Linked DNA regions of Oryzias latipes. The protein of the gene in region 1 interacts with the protein of each later gene in a biochemical or structural test. Links are inferred from orthologs where the notes say so. Each region holds a gene or a part of one and is shown on either strand. Other genes may lie near its edges.

The links.
Region 2: the proteins of fbxo7 (region 1) and pink1 form a complex in vitro, tested with the Homo sapiens proteins (2 studies listed by BioGRID, with this or other methods). The link is inferred for Oryzias latipes from reciprocal best matches to the Homo sapiens genes FBXO7 and PINK1.

Annotation. Positions count from the first base shown.
Region 1 is NC_019881.2:23,754,877-23,761,716, forward strand, and holds the end of fbxo7 (F-box only protein 7), read left to right. Parts: intron 1-169; 5' UTR 170-170; coding exon 171-292; intron 293-369; coding exon 370-565; intron 566-1,800; coding exon 1,801-2,010; intron 2,011-2,086; coding exon 2,087-2,231; intron 2,232-2,299; coding exon 2,300-2,383; intron 2,384-2,451; coding exon 2,452-2,547; intron 2,548-2,970; coding exon 2,971-3,147; intron 3,148-3,410; coding exon 3,411-3,451; intron 3,452-5,882; coding exon 5,883-6,170; 3' UTR 6,171-6,328; downstream 6,329-6,840. UniProt on the Homo sapiens protein: Substrate recognition component of a SCF (SKP1-CUL1-F-box protein) E3 ubiquitin-protein ligase complex which mediates the ubiquitination and subsequent proteasomal degradation of target proteins and plays a role in several biological processes such as cell cycle, cell proliferation, or maintenance of chromosome stability.
Region 2 is NC_019865.2:23,686,416-23,694,850, forward strand, and holds the start of pink1 (serine/threonine-protein kinase PINK1, mitochondrial), read left to right. Parts: upstream 1-4,047; 5' UTR 4,048-4,159; coding exon 4,160-4,516; intron 4,517-6,364; coding exon 6,365-6,646; intron 6,647-6,730; coding exon 6,731-6,834; intron 6,835-8,435. Other genes in the region: trypsin-2-like, read left to right, coding at 1-135, 1,570-1,725. UniProt on the Homo sapiens protein: Serine/threonine-protein kinase which acts as a sensor of mitochondrial damage and protects against mitochondrial dysfunction during cellular stress.

The DNA.
Region 1 (6,840 bases):
TCCACGCGACCAAACCTGCATGACACCAAAGCAAAAGTGAGCAAATAAAGCAGCTTCTGCTGGAAACCATCAGTTTACTTCTGTGGGGCTCAACGTGTGGCTGCAGCTGCTGTTGTGTTTGTGGGTGCTCAGCTGTTTGTAAGTGGGGGGCACGTGGCTTTATCTGCAGCATGAAGCTGCGGGTTCGAATCCAGCGGCAGACCAGCAGGCTGGAGGTCCAGGGAGAGGCGCCCACCCTGCAGGAGCTGGCAGAGCTGATCCGGCAGACGCTGCTGCCGTCTCACGGACTCAGGTTCCTCCACCGCTGCTCGTCCGTATTGATCCTGATGTTTGAGGAAGACCTCCTGAACTCTGCCTCCATCCTCTCAGCGCCGACACGGCCTTCGGACTGTCCCTGAACGGCTCGGATCTGCTGTCCGACTCCGCCCAGACCCTGGTGTCCTGCGGCATCGACTCTGGAGATCTGATCTGGGTCCTGCTGCCCCCGTCTGCAGCTCCAGAGACCAGCGCAGTGACCGATGCTCAGCAGAGCTGCGGCTCCGCCTGCAGCTCCGCCCACAGCCAGGTGAGTCGTTTGGCTTAGTAAGTGAATGTTTTGACACAAAAGGAGGTCAGAAACCTTCATCCTGAAGAAGATTGGCCTTAGGAGGTCTGGACTTTAGAGAACTTCAGAGAGGAAGATGAATCCAGTGGCTTTCTGTGACGTCACTTTCTCAGTGGGGCGCCCCCTGGAGGCCAGACAGCCGTTGTGACATCATCATCACTGACGTCACTGACGCAGCGGACCATCAGGAGTCTGGTGGTCACGTGACTGTCGCTGTGCAGACACGCTTCTCTTCAGGTCTCCTGTCCTTCAAACTGAAGCGTTCTTGGGGGGTTCTGCGATGTCCTGAGGGGTTCTGGGATGTCCCGAGGGGTTCTGAAGGGTTCTGCGATGTCCTGAGGGGTTCTGTGATGTTTTAAGGGGTTCTGCGATGTCCTGAGGGGTTCTGCGATGTCCTGAGGGGTTCTGAAGGGTTCTGCGATGTTCTGAGGGGTTCTGCGATGTCCTGAGGGGTTCTGCGATGTCCTGAGGGGTTCTGCGATGTCCTGAGGGGTTCTGCGATGTTCTGAGGGGTTCTGCGATGTCCTGAGGGGTTCTGCGATGTCCTGAGGGGTTCTGCGATGTCCTGAGGGGTTCTGCGATGTCCTGAGGGGTTCTGCGATGTCCTGAGGGGTTCTGCGATGTCCTGATGGGTTCTGAAGGGTTCTGCGGTGTCCTGAAGGGTTCTGCGATGTCCTGAGGGGTTCTGGGATGTCCTGAGGGGTTCTGGGATGTCCTGAGGGGTTCTGCGATGTCCTGAGGGGTTCTGGGAAGTCCTGAGGGGTTCTGCGAATGTCCTGAGGGGTTCTGCGATGTCCTCAGGGGTTCTGGGAAGTCCTGAGGGGTTCTGCGATGTCCTGAGGGGTTCTGCGATGTCCTGAGGGGTTCTGCGAATGTCCTGAGGGGTTCTGCGATGTCCTCAGGGGTTCTGGGAAGTCCTGAGGGGTTCTGCAGTAGACAGGAGGAGCTTCTTGTCTGACTCAGCGGTGAGGAGCAGAAGCTCCTCAGAATCCAAAGGTGAAGATGGATCCAGACCTCGGTTCATTTTCAGAAGAACCTGTCCAGCGTTCTTCCTCCCCGCCGTTCCTGAAATGTTCCGGTTGATCTTCTGATGATGAAGATCTGCGTTCAGCCTCCTCTGTCTCCTCCATCTGCGACCTCTTGTTGTCTTCACGTCTTTCTGGTCCGAATGAAACGGCTTCTGTTCTTCCCTCCAGCCGCCTGGCAGCATCGAACCCGCGGGCTCGGCCCAGCCAGACGCTGACCCGGCGCCGCTCTGGGAGCCCATCCTGTGCAGCGAGGCGGAGGACGGTCAGGCCCCCCTGTCCCTGGACCTCCTCTACCACACGGCGCAGGTCAGCTGTCCTGACGACGCCGTGGTGGTGGCGTCGCACGTTCTCATGCTGGAGGCCGGCTTCACGTCGCAAGTGAGTGGAACGGGGGCTTTTTCTCTGTCCTGGGGGGTCCTCGGGGGCCCGGCGGTCTCACCTCTGCTGTCTTCAGGGCTGTGCGATGAAGCCTGCTGAAATGCCGGCAGGGTGGAGGTCCAGCGCCACCACCTACAGGCTGCAGTACACTCACCCTCTGTGTGGCAGCAGCTCTGCCTCCGTGGTGGGCGTGGTCATGGGCCCCCAGCTCGTCGTCAACGGTGAGGTTTTTCAGCGTCTTCAGAGGAAGGCGTCCCAGACTCTGACGTTTCCGGTTGGTGTTCTGTAGCCACCCTGAAGGTTCTAGAGAATGTGGGTTCGGTCCGGAAGCTCCAGTTGAAGGCGTCCAGCTTCGTGACTCAGGAGTGGGCAGGTAGGCAGGCGGCGGGGAGGCTCGACGCCGCAGCGCCGCTGAGTAATGCTGTGTGTGCTGTCCTTCAGGGGGAAGTGCCGCCGCGGCCTTCAAGGACCTCCGAAAGCTGTCCCGCGTCTTCAAAGACCAGCTGGCCTACCCTCTGATCGCCGCCGCCAGAGAAGGTAAACGCAGCCGAGGGGGCCGGTCTGCTTTTGTGAGCCACGCCCACAAGGAGGCAGAGGGTGGAGCTACCAGGAAGCTGTGGCGCCCCCTACAGGGAGCAGCAGAACGTTTGATCAAATGTTAGGGGTGCAGGTAGGGCCGGGAGAATGTTTGATATCACAATATCGTTTTATTCATCCTTTTTAAAAAAAGATTGAAATATTGTTGTGGCACAGACTTAGTATGTTTCTTGATATCCATCGTATCGCCAATACATGCCGCTATAAAATATTAAAAAGAACAGAAAATGCTGTCAAACAGGAAACGCATCATTTGAACGGCGATGGACTTCCTGGTGTCTCCCTGCTGTGGCTTTCTGTACCACTGGGGGGCGCCAGAGTGTGAATCAGAGTGGAGCAGAAAGCGTTTTCTTTCCGTTGCAGCCATGGCTCTGCCCTGGGCGTTCGGCCTGCAGGCCCTCCCTCCAGAGCTTCTCCTCAGGGTGCTCCGCCTGCTGGACGTGCGCTCGCTTCTCAGGCTGTCCGCCGTCTGTCGACTTCTGAACGCCGCAGCAGCAGACTCCTCGCTGTGGAGACACCTGTACCGCCGTGATTTCCCAGGTTAGAGCTGCTTCTCCGCCACGTTTTTTTAAACTTCAGAATCAGAGAAGCTGCACGTTCTTCAGCCAGAGACCAGCTGCGGACCAGGATTCACCAGGAAAACAGACATTTCTGTGTTTTTACACACATGTAGAGAATAAATGAAGCTACTAGTCTGATCTAAAGACGTCAGCAGATTATTCTTCAGTTTCTGTTGAATGTGAAGGAACCGCGTTTTCAGTCTGAAACATTTGGACCTCAATGATGTCATGTTTGTGCTTCAGGTTCTGGTGGAAACAGATCAAATGACTCGGACTGGAAGGAGGTGAGGAGGGAGTGAAACTGTCACACGGGTGTGAGATGTGTGGGGACCCACAGTGATGGGTCCTCCACGGCTTTGATTTCAGTCAAAGGAGGCTTTTAATTAGAAAATCTAACTAATATGTGTGAAGCTTAGAGGACAAACCAGAACATGAACAGAAGGAAGGTGGGCTTAATTCATGAATGAATCAGCCTGTAAACAGCCTGCAAACAGTCTGTAAACATTCTGCAAACAGCCTGCAAACAGTCTGTAAACAGTCTGCAAACAGCCTGCAAACAGTCTGCAAACAGCCTGCAAACAGCCTGCAAACAGTCTGCAAACAGTCTGCAAACAGTCTGCAATCAGCCTGTAAACAGTCTGCAAACATTCTGCAAACAGCCTGCAATCAGCCTGCAGACAGTCTGCAATCAGCCTGCAAACAGTCTGTAAACAGCCTGGAAACAGTCTGTAAACAGCCTGCAATCAGCCTGCAGACAGTCTGCAATCAGCCTGCAAACAGTCTGTAAACAGCCTGCAAACAGTCTGTAAACAGTCTGTAAACAGTCTGCAAACAGCCTGCAAACAGTCTGTAAACATTCTGCAATCAGCCTGCAAACAGTCTGTAAACAGCCTGCAATCAGCCTGCAGACAGTCTGCAATCAGCCTGCAAACAGTCTGTAAACAGCCTGCAAACAGCCTGCAAACAGTCTGTAAACAGTCTGCAAACAGCCTGCAAACAGTCTGCAAAAAGCCTGTAAACAGTCTGTAAACAGCCTGCAAACAGTCTGTAAACAGTCTGCAAACAGCCTGCAAACAGTCTGCAAACAGTCTGCAAACAGTCTGCAATCAGCCTGTAAACAGTCTGCAAACATTCTGCAAACAGCCTGCAATCAGCCTGCAGACAGTCTGCAATCAGCCTGCAAACAGTCTGTAAACAGCCTGGAAACAGTCTGTAAACAGCCTGCAATCAGCCTGCAGACAGTCTGCAATCAGCCTGCAAACAGTCTGTAAACAGCCTGCAAACAGTCTGTAAACAGTCTGTAAACAGTCTGCAAACAGCCTGCAAACAGTCTGTAAACATTCTGCAATCAGCCTGCAGACAGTCTGCAATCAGCCTGCAAACAGTCTGTAAACAGCCTGCAAACAGTCTGTAAACAGTCTGCAAACAGCCTGCAAACAGCCTGCAAACATTCTGCAAACAGTCTGCAATCAGCCTGCAGACAGTCTGCAATCAGCCTGCAAACAGTCTGTAAACAGCCTGCAAACAGTCTGTAAACAGTCTGCAAACAGCCTGCAAACAGTCTGTAAACATTCTGCAATCAGCCTGCAAACAGCCTGCAATCAGCCTGCAATCAGCCTGTAAACAGTCTGCAAACAGTCTGCAAACAGTCTGCAAACAGTCTGTTAACAGTCTGCAAACAGTCTGCAAACAGTCTGCAATCAGCCTGCAAACAGCCTGTAAACAGTCTGCAAAAAGTCTGTAAACAGCCAGCAAACAGTCTGCAAACATTCTGCAAACAGCCTGCAATCAGCCTGCAAACAGCCTGTAAACAGTCTGCAAACAGCCTGTAAACAGCCTGCAAACAGTCTGTAAACAGCCTGCAAACAGTCTGTAAACATTCTGCAATCAGCCTGCAAACAGTCTGTAAACAGCCTGTAAACAGTCTGCAAACAGTCTGTAAACAGTTTGCAAACAGTCTGCAATCAGCCTGTAAACATTCTGCAAACAGCCTGTAATCAGCCTGCAAACAGTCTGTAAACAGCCTGTAAACAGTCTCCAATCAGCCTGCAAACATTCTGCAATCAGCCTGCAAACAGCCTGTAAACAGTTTGCAAACATTCTGCAATCAGCCTGCAAACAGTTTGCAAACAGTCTGCAATCAGCCTGCAACCAGCCTGTAAACAGCCTGTAAACAGTCTGCAAACAGTCTGCAACCAGCCTGTAAACAGTCTGTAAACATTCTGCAATCAGCCTGCAAACATTCTGCAATCAGCCTGCAAACAGTTTGCAAACAGTCTGCAATCAGCCTGCAACCAGCCTGCAAACAGTCTGCAATCAGCCTGCAAACAGCCTGTAAACAGCCTGTAAACAGTCTGCAAACAGTCTGCAACCAGCCTGTAAACAGTCTGTAAACATTCTGCAATCAGCCTGCAAACAGTCTGCAATCAGCCTGCAAACATTCTGCAATCAGCCTGCAAACAGCCTGTAAACAGTCTGCAATCAGCCTTTAAACAGCCTGTAAACAGTCTGCAATCAGCCTGCAAACAGCCTGTAAACATTCTGCAATCAGCCTGCAACCAGCCTGTAAACAGTCTGCAATCAGCCTTTAAACAGCCTGTAAACAGTCTGCAATCAGCCTGCAAACAGCCTGTAAACATTCTGCAATCAGCCTGCAACCAGCCTGTAAACAGTCTGCAAACAGCCTGTCTCACCTGTTGCCATGTTTCCTTTCAGCTCTACAAAACGATGTTTGTCTTTCGCTCTGAAAGCCGCCGCAGCGCCACCCGACTGATGACCCCTCCTATTGGCCATCACATCTTTCATCCTTTGCCCCGCCCCTTCCCCCCTGTGCCAGGCATTATTGGGGGGGATTATGACCAAAGACCCAATCTCCCGCACGGCCTCCTGCCCCGCCCCCGACACGACCCCATTGGGCCCCTTTCAGACCCCCTTGGTCGACCGCTACCCCGGTTCAGATCATTTGGGGGCAAGGCAGCCGACATCCGGCGGGGTTTCATCTGAACATTGAATCCTGGAAGGAACGCCATGACCACACGTGGGGGGTGTGGCCTCCATGTGAGAGCCCCGTGATCCAAAGAAGAAATGACACTGTGCTGGAAAGCTTGATTTATTATTATTTTGGTTTTTTTTATAAACAGCTGAAGACCAGTGTGAAACAATCTGACTGTTCCTGTGTGTCCCTGAATGCACCACAGTGTTTTAGCCTGAAAGACTAACGCGGGTTTCTGGGTCAGAGCGAGCTGTGGTCGCCCTGACAAAACCACGTGACACACCAACACCTGAGTGACGGAGAAGGCTCCGTCCATCTGGTCTCAAACGTACAGGAACTTCCTTCAGAACCAGCGGGTTCTGCTCCTGATTCCGTCACTAAACTGCTGTATTCAGTCTTTACTGTCAAAAACGGCAGAAGAAACTTTGGCTTCCGGGGGGTATTCCAGAAAGCAGATTATGCTAGCTCCCACGATAAGTTTGAGGCTAAGGAAGTTGATAACCTCGGCTTTCGGTTCCAGAAATGGAGGTATGTTTCAGGGTGGGTCAAGTTGCCATAGCAACGCATGCTCTGAACATAACCTGGTCTGGAGCAGGTTTAGTTGAAGGTTAGTTTGTTTTCAGAGAGGAGAAGCAGCATGGCGTGTCCATTTGAAGATGATTTAGTGGATGAAGAAGCTCA
Region 2 (8,435 bases), on another chromosome or scaffold:
AGCTACACCCTCTCACCTGTACTCCGGGCTGTGGACGTGAGAGAAATACCTTACTGCAACTGGTACTACTGGGGGAGAATCACTGAGAACATGCTGTGTGCCGGATCTATCTACGGTGGAAAAGATTCCTGTCAGGTATGGCAACGAAAATGTCTGTATTTTATTGTTTCTGATACAACAAAAGATACCTCTGGCACATGGTACCCATGAAACCTCTATTGTGGATCCTGCCATCAGGTGTCTGATGGAAGAAATTTTGCACCTCGTCTTTTGCACCTCACCAGGTTGTGACAATTCCTACTCCAATCATCCTTTGATGTATTAAAAATGTTCCCAGTGGTCTTTTTAAATATTGTTATGCCGTTTGTAGCGTAAATCAAAAAGCCTGTGTCATTTTCTAGGACATCGTTTGTGCAGAGCCACAGTGGTTAATTAGAGTTGTGGGTGAAACTTTTGGCAAAGAGTAATCCTGCCCCCACTTTTATACCCGCTAGCTTACAACCCCTCACAACCCCCAGCCTAACATTAGCGGTGCAACAGAAAATGGTGAGCAATATTGGAGCTATTCAGCCGTACAGGATTGAGTCAGATGTCAGCTAAGTCGAGGAAAGCAAAGACCTACATGAATCTATTCTTCCGCAAGGAAATGCATCAGATGTTAAAAACACCAAAAACACTATTTTCATCGTACTGGGTCAAATCTTTAGTCTCCTGTGAAAGCAAATCAAAAGACATCAATGTGTGCATGCTTCCACATTCCTCCCCTACTCATGCACAGTTTGTGGGACTCTTATAGTGAAAGTACTCTTAGTGGGGTTGCTCAGAGGATTAGCAGGATTTTGGGGTTTTCTTTGCACTCATTTGTTTCAATCAAATCCCTCTTAACCCTTGTGCTATCCTATGACCCCACCCTTATATTGACGTGTTCTCCCTACCATGACAAAGGTGGATAAAGGTGGAAAGATTTCATGTAATCCATGGACACCAGTGAAGATCACAAATCATTGATGAAAAAAGGTTCAGAGCACTGTCTAGTGGGTCTACATGACCCAACTCCCAATGTTAAAGTGCCTAAAATAGCACAAGGGTTACATTGAGCATTTGTTGTAACTGCAGGATTTTTCTTGGGGTTTGGTTAGCTCCTGTAAAAATAATCATATCACATAAAGGTGTATAACTTATACTATAAGAAATCTTTTCCATCTGCCATTTAACCCTTGTACTATCCTATGGGGTCAAGATGACCATTGACGTGTTCTCCCTACCATGATAAAGGTGGATAAAGGTGAATAGGATTTCATGTAATCCATGGACACCAGTGAAGATCACAAATCATTGAAGAAAAAAGGTAAAGAGCACTGTCTTGTGGGGTCTATGTGACCCAACTCCCAATGTCAAAGTGCCAAGGATTGCACAAGGGTTGAAGGTGTTTTTTTTTCTTCTTACTTAAAAATCTGCTGATTTGTACTATTGAATAGCTGACACTGCAAATATGAAGAAAACGTTTACAGCTGACTATAACAGTCTGACATTGGCTAAAAGTAAACACTACTTCTTGTGTCCTCACAGGGCGACTCCGGGGGTCCGCTTGTCTGCAATGATTACTTTGAGGGTATTGTGTCCTGGGGCATCAGCTGCGCTAACCCATACTACCCCGGCGTCTACACCAAAGTGAGGCAGTACGTCAAATGGATCAACTGGATTATTAACAATGACTCTCCATGAGCCGTCACTGAAAAGCTTGTTCTCAATATTGCTTCTATTGTTTGATGTAAAGGTAACCTGTTGATCAAAGTTATGTCAAAAGGGGATTTGGGGTCAGTTTTTTTCCACAATATATTGTCCCTCGTCAATACATGACATTGAGAAGTATCTGTAGAGGTCAAAGGTTAGTCAGTTAGTGGAAACTTTTAAAATGACTCATTTGACTCAAATCACAGATACAATTTGCCACACAGAAGCTCTTGATTTTGCAACTTTGCACAGAAACACATTGGGACAAAGAATTGACATTTAAACCTTTCTAGTGCTATTACATCTAAAAGACAATCCAGAATAAAGCATCTGATGACAACAAAGATGAGCTGTTTGTTTTATTTTTCAAAGTGTTTCCATTTTCTTCAAGCATTTTATTTTATTCCTCATCATAAAAAATAATAAAAAATTAAAGAAGATCTCTGCCTCTGAAATATGTTTTAGGAAATACAGAAGACCCAGCATGGTTGGTGACTACCTGAACCTATAATAATTCATAACCAAAATTACTCACCATAAAACACATTTTAGACTGCTCCTTTAGGAAATATTTAAAGATGCCAGACATTTCTGACCTGTAAGTGTTATAAAAAATCAAATATCTGCTTCCAAAACCTTTGTTAGATAGGTTGCATAAATAATTAAACGTTAATGAGATTGCTTTATGTGATGAATATCTTTTTTTTTGGTCCAGGAAATTTCTTTCCGTCATCTATATTCTTAAACTGCTGAATCCCTTTTGGGGTTGCTGGAACGTTCCGACTCATGTTGAACAAAGGCGTGGTGCATCCTGGACCAGTCGCTAGTCAGCAAGGCTCAAGAACATTCTTTTTTCTCTGTAATCTTTGAGGGCAAGATTTTTTACCCATAATATACACTGAAAATGCACAGAGGCTTGTTTGGCCATGAGATACTGAAAAACAAAACCCAAGCATCAAAAAATCTCCTTAAAAGAAAAAAGGAAAAACAAACCAAAGCCAAATTGCAGAAGCATAATATCGATTAATAATTTAATTTAAATATATGAATGAATTAAGGAACAGTGATGTTAGTATTGTTCATATTTATAACAAGGATCATGGTCATAAATGTAAGAATTGATGTTATTGTAGGGATTTTGAATAAGCACAGACGTAACAATTTCATGGTGAAAATAACAATAGAAGGAGTAATAGGACTGATTTTGATTTTTAATAACCTATGTGTGCATTTCCATTAACACAAAAATTAATATGACCTTGATATGGTACCTGCAACTGTACCTGTAAAAGTTTTTTCACTCATAATTCAAAGTGACATGCAATTCTCAATAGGCAATTCAATTTTCCATTTGATCACACATTTTGCAATTGGCATTTCAATGCATTTTGTGATTTAGAATTCAAAATGAACAATAATTAAAATTAACTGTCACGGTTTTTTGATACTACAATTCAAATAAAATGCATTTTGCAACTTTTAATTAATTATGCTTTTTTATTATTTTATCATTATGAATTCTAAATCGCAAAATGCATTTTAAACTGGGACTAAACAGGGATATGGTCAATTCAGAATTGAATATTACTTTGAGTTATAGGTGAAACAAAACTTCCATATCTTAGAGACTTAGGGACATAGTCTGGAAACCCCCAGAGAAAACAAAGTTCTAACATTGAGGGAAAGAATAATTACAAATAAAAAAAATGTGTTAATCAAGCTAATGTTGTTAGCTGATTTAGATGTATTTATGCATTTGTCATCATATACTGTGTTAAAAATAACTTTTATTTCTGTCACATCATTCCTTTAACCTTCCAGTGCAAATTCTGACCAAAGCTCAGCAGGAACCTCCAAGTCCTACCCTGCGTCTATGGTCCTGCTTCAATAATACAGTTTTTATGTCACAAATAAACTACTTATCATTATAAAGACAAAAGAAGAAAATTAAAATTAATATCCAAAGAAAATAATTAACTTTCCTTAAAATGCACTGGTATTTTCCCCGCCCCTTTAAAATCATTCTGCCAATCCTGCCTGTTTCTCAGGATGGGTCAAGGGGATGAATATGATGCATTCAAAGTATATCCGTAACTAGAAAAAAAAAACAATGATGCTGGGATCCAAACAGCTCTAACTCAGTTTGTTACAACAATTACCGTTAATTAAAAATATAGACGATAATTTTAACTGCACAACACAAAATAAATGCGCTAAGGTGCTGAGGCCTGAAATATACAGTATTGTGGTTCCCACTCGTTGAAGGGGGCCATGAATGTATTTTATCTAAACCAATGACCATAGGTCCTTTGCGCATGCTCAGTAGCATTTGTTTTGTTTAACTTTGCTCCTCGCGGCAGCTGTTTGAGGCTGACCTGCATTCCCGGGGCTTTAAAACGTTTCTAAAAACCCTTCTGGGCTCACAATGTCTGTTAAACACGCTATTAGCCGAGGGCTGGAGTTGGGCCGGTCGATTTTTCAGCTGGGGGTCCTGAAAGCAGGTAGTCGGGTCGCAGCGAAGCTCCGAGCTGACCGAGTTCGTGCGGGCCCGGCCTTCCGGACCGCTCAGCCTCAGGCTTTCCTGCCTCTCCGATACCGGTATTACCGCACCTCACTGAGGGGTCTGGCAGCTCAGCTCCAGTGGGCTGGCTTCGTTAGGAGGTTTGCCGGAGGTTCACCGCGGAACAGAGCCGTCTTTCTGGCGTTTGGCCTCGGTGTGGGATTAATCGAGAAGCAGATTGAGGACGACAGGCTGAGTTTGGCAACGTGCAATGAGATAAAGGTATGAATTCCTGCTGTCATTTCAGTCTGAGCCTCAGTAGATCTGACATTTTATATTTGCGTTTTTTATAGCGACTGTTTTATGTTAAAACTTACTTAAAAAAATCATCGATTTTACTGTAATTTTATAGAAAAAACAAAATTTAGAACATAGCTGTGTAAATCTGTTGTTCAAATAAAATAAATTGACAAGTTTAATTCTTTCATTTATTGGGTCCAATGAGGTTAGTATTTATTATAGTAAAATATGTATTAATTAATCATTTTTTATCTATTTTAAAAGCGTTTCCAGTGGTCTTTTCATTAGGATTATTCCATTTAAAAAACGTTTGTTTTCTTGGACGTAGTGTCTGCAGTAGTTTATTAGAAATTCACCCCTGAGTTGTGGGCGGGACTGTTGCCACGGAGCAACCCCGCCCCCTTTCCTCTCCCAATTGCAGAGAGCTCTCTGTTTACATGCTCTCCCGCTAGCTTACAGCCCCCACACCCTCATCCCTAGCAGAAATGGTGAGCAATATTGGAGCTATCCAGAGGTAAACGAACACGGATCTTTGTCTGCAAGTTGTTGCTTTGGAATGGAGCAGAGCAGGCAGCTTGTGACCTGCCCAGCATGTTTTTTACATCACAAATACGATATTTTTTCAAACGGCATTGTTTCGTCTGCTCCTGATACATGTCAATGTGAAATGAACCGACAGTACAAGCTCATCCCTGGAAGTGACAAACTAAGTTATGCTGCAACTGACAACAACACAAACTTAAACTTTAGAATAGAATATAACTTTATCAATCACTTGTTACAACCTCTTTTGACAACGGCAAATAAATAACAAAAAAAAAATAAAACACTAGAAAAATGAATAACAATAACTATTGACCAGTGTCAGGTGTTAGAGTCTAATATCTGACAGGAGGAACGATCTGCAAAAGCTCTCATTCCTGTAGCTAAGTGTTCAAGTCTCTGACTGAAGGAGCTCCTCAGTGCACCGATTGCAGTAAATCCTGATGATGAAGAGGAATGTCCAGAATGGAGCTGGATCTTCACACTGTTCCTGTCAGTGCCATCATGAAATCTCTACAAGAGTCCTGCAATTTCTGAAGGACCTCAGTCTCCTTAGCCTCTCCTGCCCTCTGGTCGCTTCTCTAGCAGCATTTTGTTGTTGCCAAGCAACAACAACTGATTGTGTAAATCAGCGGTGTCAGAATCCAGGCCGTGAGGGTCCAACATGTTTTTCAAGCAACCTGCCATTGAAGCTCCTTATTGGCTAAACACACCTGATCCACAAGTCATCAGCAGCAGCAGCAGATAAGGCAGGATTTTTGGGAAACCAGCAGGAGGCCGGCCCTCGAGGCCTGGAGTCTGACACCCCACCCCCCCACCCCCCCCTCTGCTGTAAATGATGCACCTGCAGCCCGCTTGAGACCCAGAAGGGGTGGAAATTAGCCCAAAAAGGGGTGACATGCATGCCATCACACTGATTATGTGAAAAAATATCCATGTCCATCAAAAAGAGGTCAATAATATGAAAGTAACAAAACAAAAACAAGGAAGTTAGCCTGAAGGAAAGTAGAGTAAATGTAAACCCATTAGCAGTAGTTTTAGCAAAAATAACTGGTTTGATGCTATTAGGTTTGTATGAATTCATGAGACAATTTTAATCAATGATACCACGCTGGTAGTTTGTCAAGCTTCTTAAATCTCAGAGCATCGGCTTCTACAAGGCTGTTTTAGTGTTAAAAGTTAAGTGTATAATTGTAGATTTCAAAAGGACACTTCATTTACATACCAAAGTAAAGACTTTGAACTCTGCTTTAATGAAACCTGAATCTAATTTCTCCTGAACTGCAGGCGGTGTTCAGAAAGAAGAAGTTCCAGAGCCCGCTCAAGCCCTTGGCCTATGGATACAAACTGGAGGATTACATTGTAGGAAACCAGATTGGGAAAGGATCCAACGCAGCTGTGTATGAAGCTGCACCTCAGTTTTTCTGCTCCAAGAAAAGCGATGGTGAGCCCGCCGCGGTGCAGATACGAGACAGTGAGGGCGAGGAAGGAAATCGCGTCATGCCATCTCTGAGTTGCTGCTCTCTAAGGAACTTCCCGCTGGCAATCAAGATGCTGTGGAACTTTGGGGTGGGTCATGGCCAGCACCCATGTATGTGGGGAGGGGAAGAAAGGTCGCTTTCTGACCGGTGTTGTGATTCTATGTGTTTGCAGGCAGGGTCATCAAACGAGGCGATCTTTAGATCGATGTCCCATGAGCTGGTTCCCACAGACCCCCTCGCTCTGGCGCCAGCAAAACAGCAACTTACTTTAGACGGGTAAATATGTTAACGAAGTCAAAGGGCTGCAACGAATCATTACTGAACCTGATCACTAGCCACAGTTGGGTGTGTTTTATTCGGGAGGAGGATGATCGGTTAGCATGACACTTGAATAACACACTTGAGGTACCGTAACTCTTCCACCATTTACGTGACCAACTTGTATCAGCTGATTCTGACGTGGAGATAAGCGGCTTTTCTTAGCGGCTTTGCATAGATATGTAACGTATTATGAACGTAAAGGGTTGCATCACAGCAATTTAAAAAGATGACAAAATCCATCAGAGTGTATAGTGGCAGATATGAGGCCATACTGCCTTGTGGAGAACAAGGGATTTGAATATATACCGTAAAAGAACAAGCAAAATCCCATCGCAACACAAAAATCATTCTAGAATTTTAAGAGCATGTAGAAGAATTATCTAGTCCAGAGGTTCTCAAAGTGCGACCCGGGGGCCAATGGTGGCCCGCGGGAAGATTTTTTTGTGGCCCTCGATAAAAGAGAGCCAGAGTAGGTTCCTTTGAGGAAAAACGTGTTGGCGAGGAGAAAAGGCGCTTTCAAGCTAAGTGGACAAATGCTTACTTTGTCGTACCTCATGGGCTGGATAAAGTCATGTGCCTTATTTGCAAGCAAAAAAATCATCACTATGTCACAAATCATAAAAACTATGACAACCGGCAAGGAGTGCAACTATAATCTCCAACAACTACAACGAGGCTATGCTGTACAGCAGATGTTTACAAAAATGGCTACATCCAGTGAAGCTGTGACAGAAGCTAGCTACATTGTGGCTTTGGAAATTGGAAATTTGGTCCAGCAAAGCAAGCCCTTCATTGACTGGGAGTTTGTAAAAACAATGTATGCTGGAAGTAGCTGACATTGTATGTCCAGATCAAAAGAAAGTCTGTCAAATGAAACTATTAACAGACGAGTAGAAGATCTGGGCAGCAACCTCCGACCGCAACTGGGAAAACATCTGGAGGGCCTGGTTAATGGCATTTGGTCATTAAAGTTATTAAAAACAACTTTTTTTTTTTTCACCAAAATTGGCCCCCAGTGTAATGTCGAGTTCATAATTTGGCCCTCTGCTACAAAAACGTTGAGAACCCCTGATCTAATGGATTATCCATTGCTCTCACCATACATGGGTGGAGGCCTGGCGCTCACTTTACCACACCAGATTGGTAGACGAGAAGCCCAGTATTGCAGAAAGACCAGAGAGTTGCACCAGAACCAATGGTGGGGCCAATGGTTTGTACACCAGGTTCTGTGTACAAAACGTGCAGCCACTGAACGCGCGTTGAAAGTGAAACCAGGTCGAGCTTTGACCAATCAGGGACTCTAGTGATGTACAGTGATCCCTTGCTATATCACGGTTTACTTTTCACGGTTTCGCTACTTCACGGATTTGGATTGTGCATTGTGTTCTGCATTCTGATTGGCTAAAAAGTCACTCAGCGAGTAGCTCAAGAATGGGACCCTTTGATGAGCCGTTCATTACAGTTCTCCAACATAATCGATGGTGGCATGTCGGTGTATAAGGATCTTTAGCAAAGAAGAAAAAAGAGCGACAACAACTGCCTATCACTATGTTCCT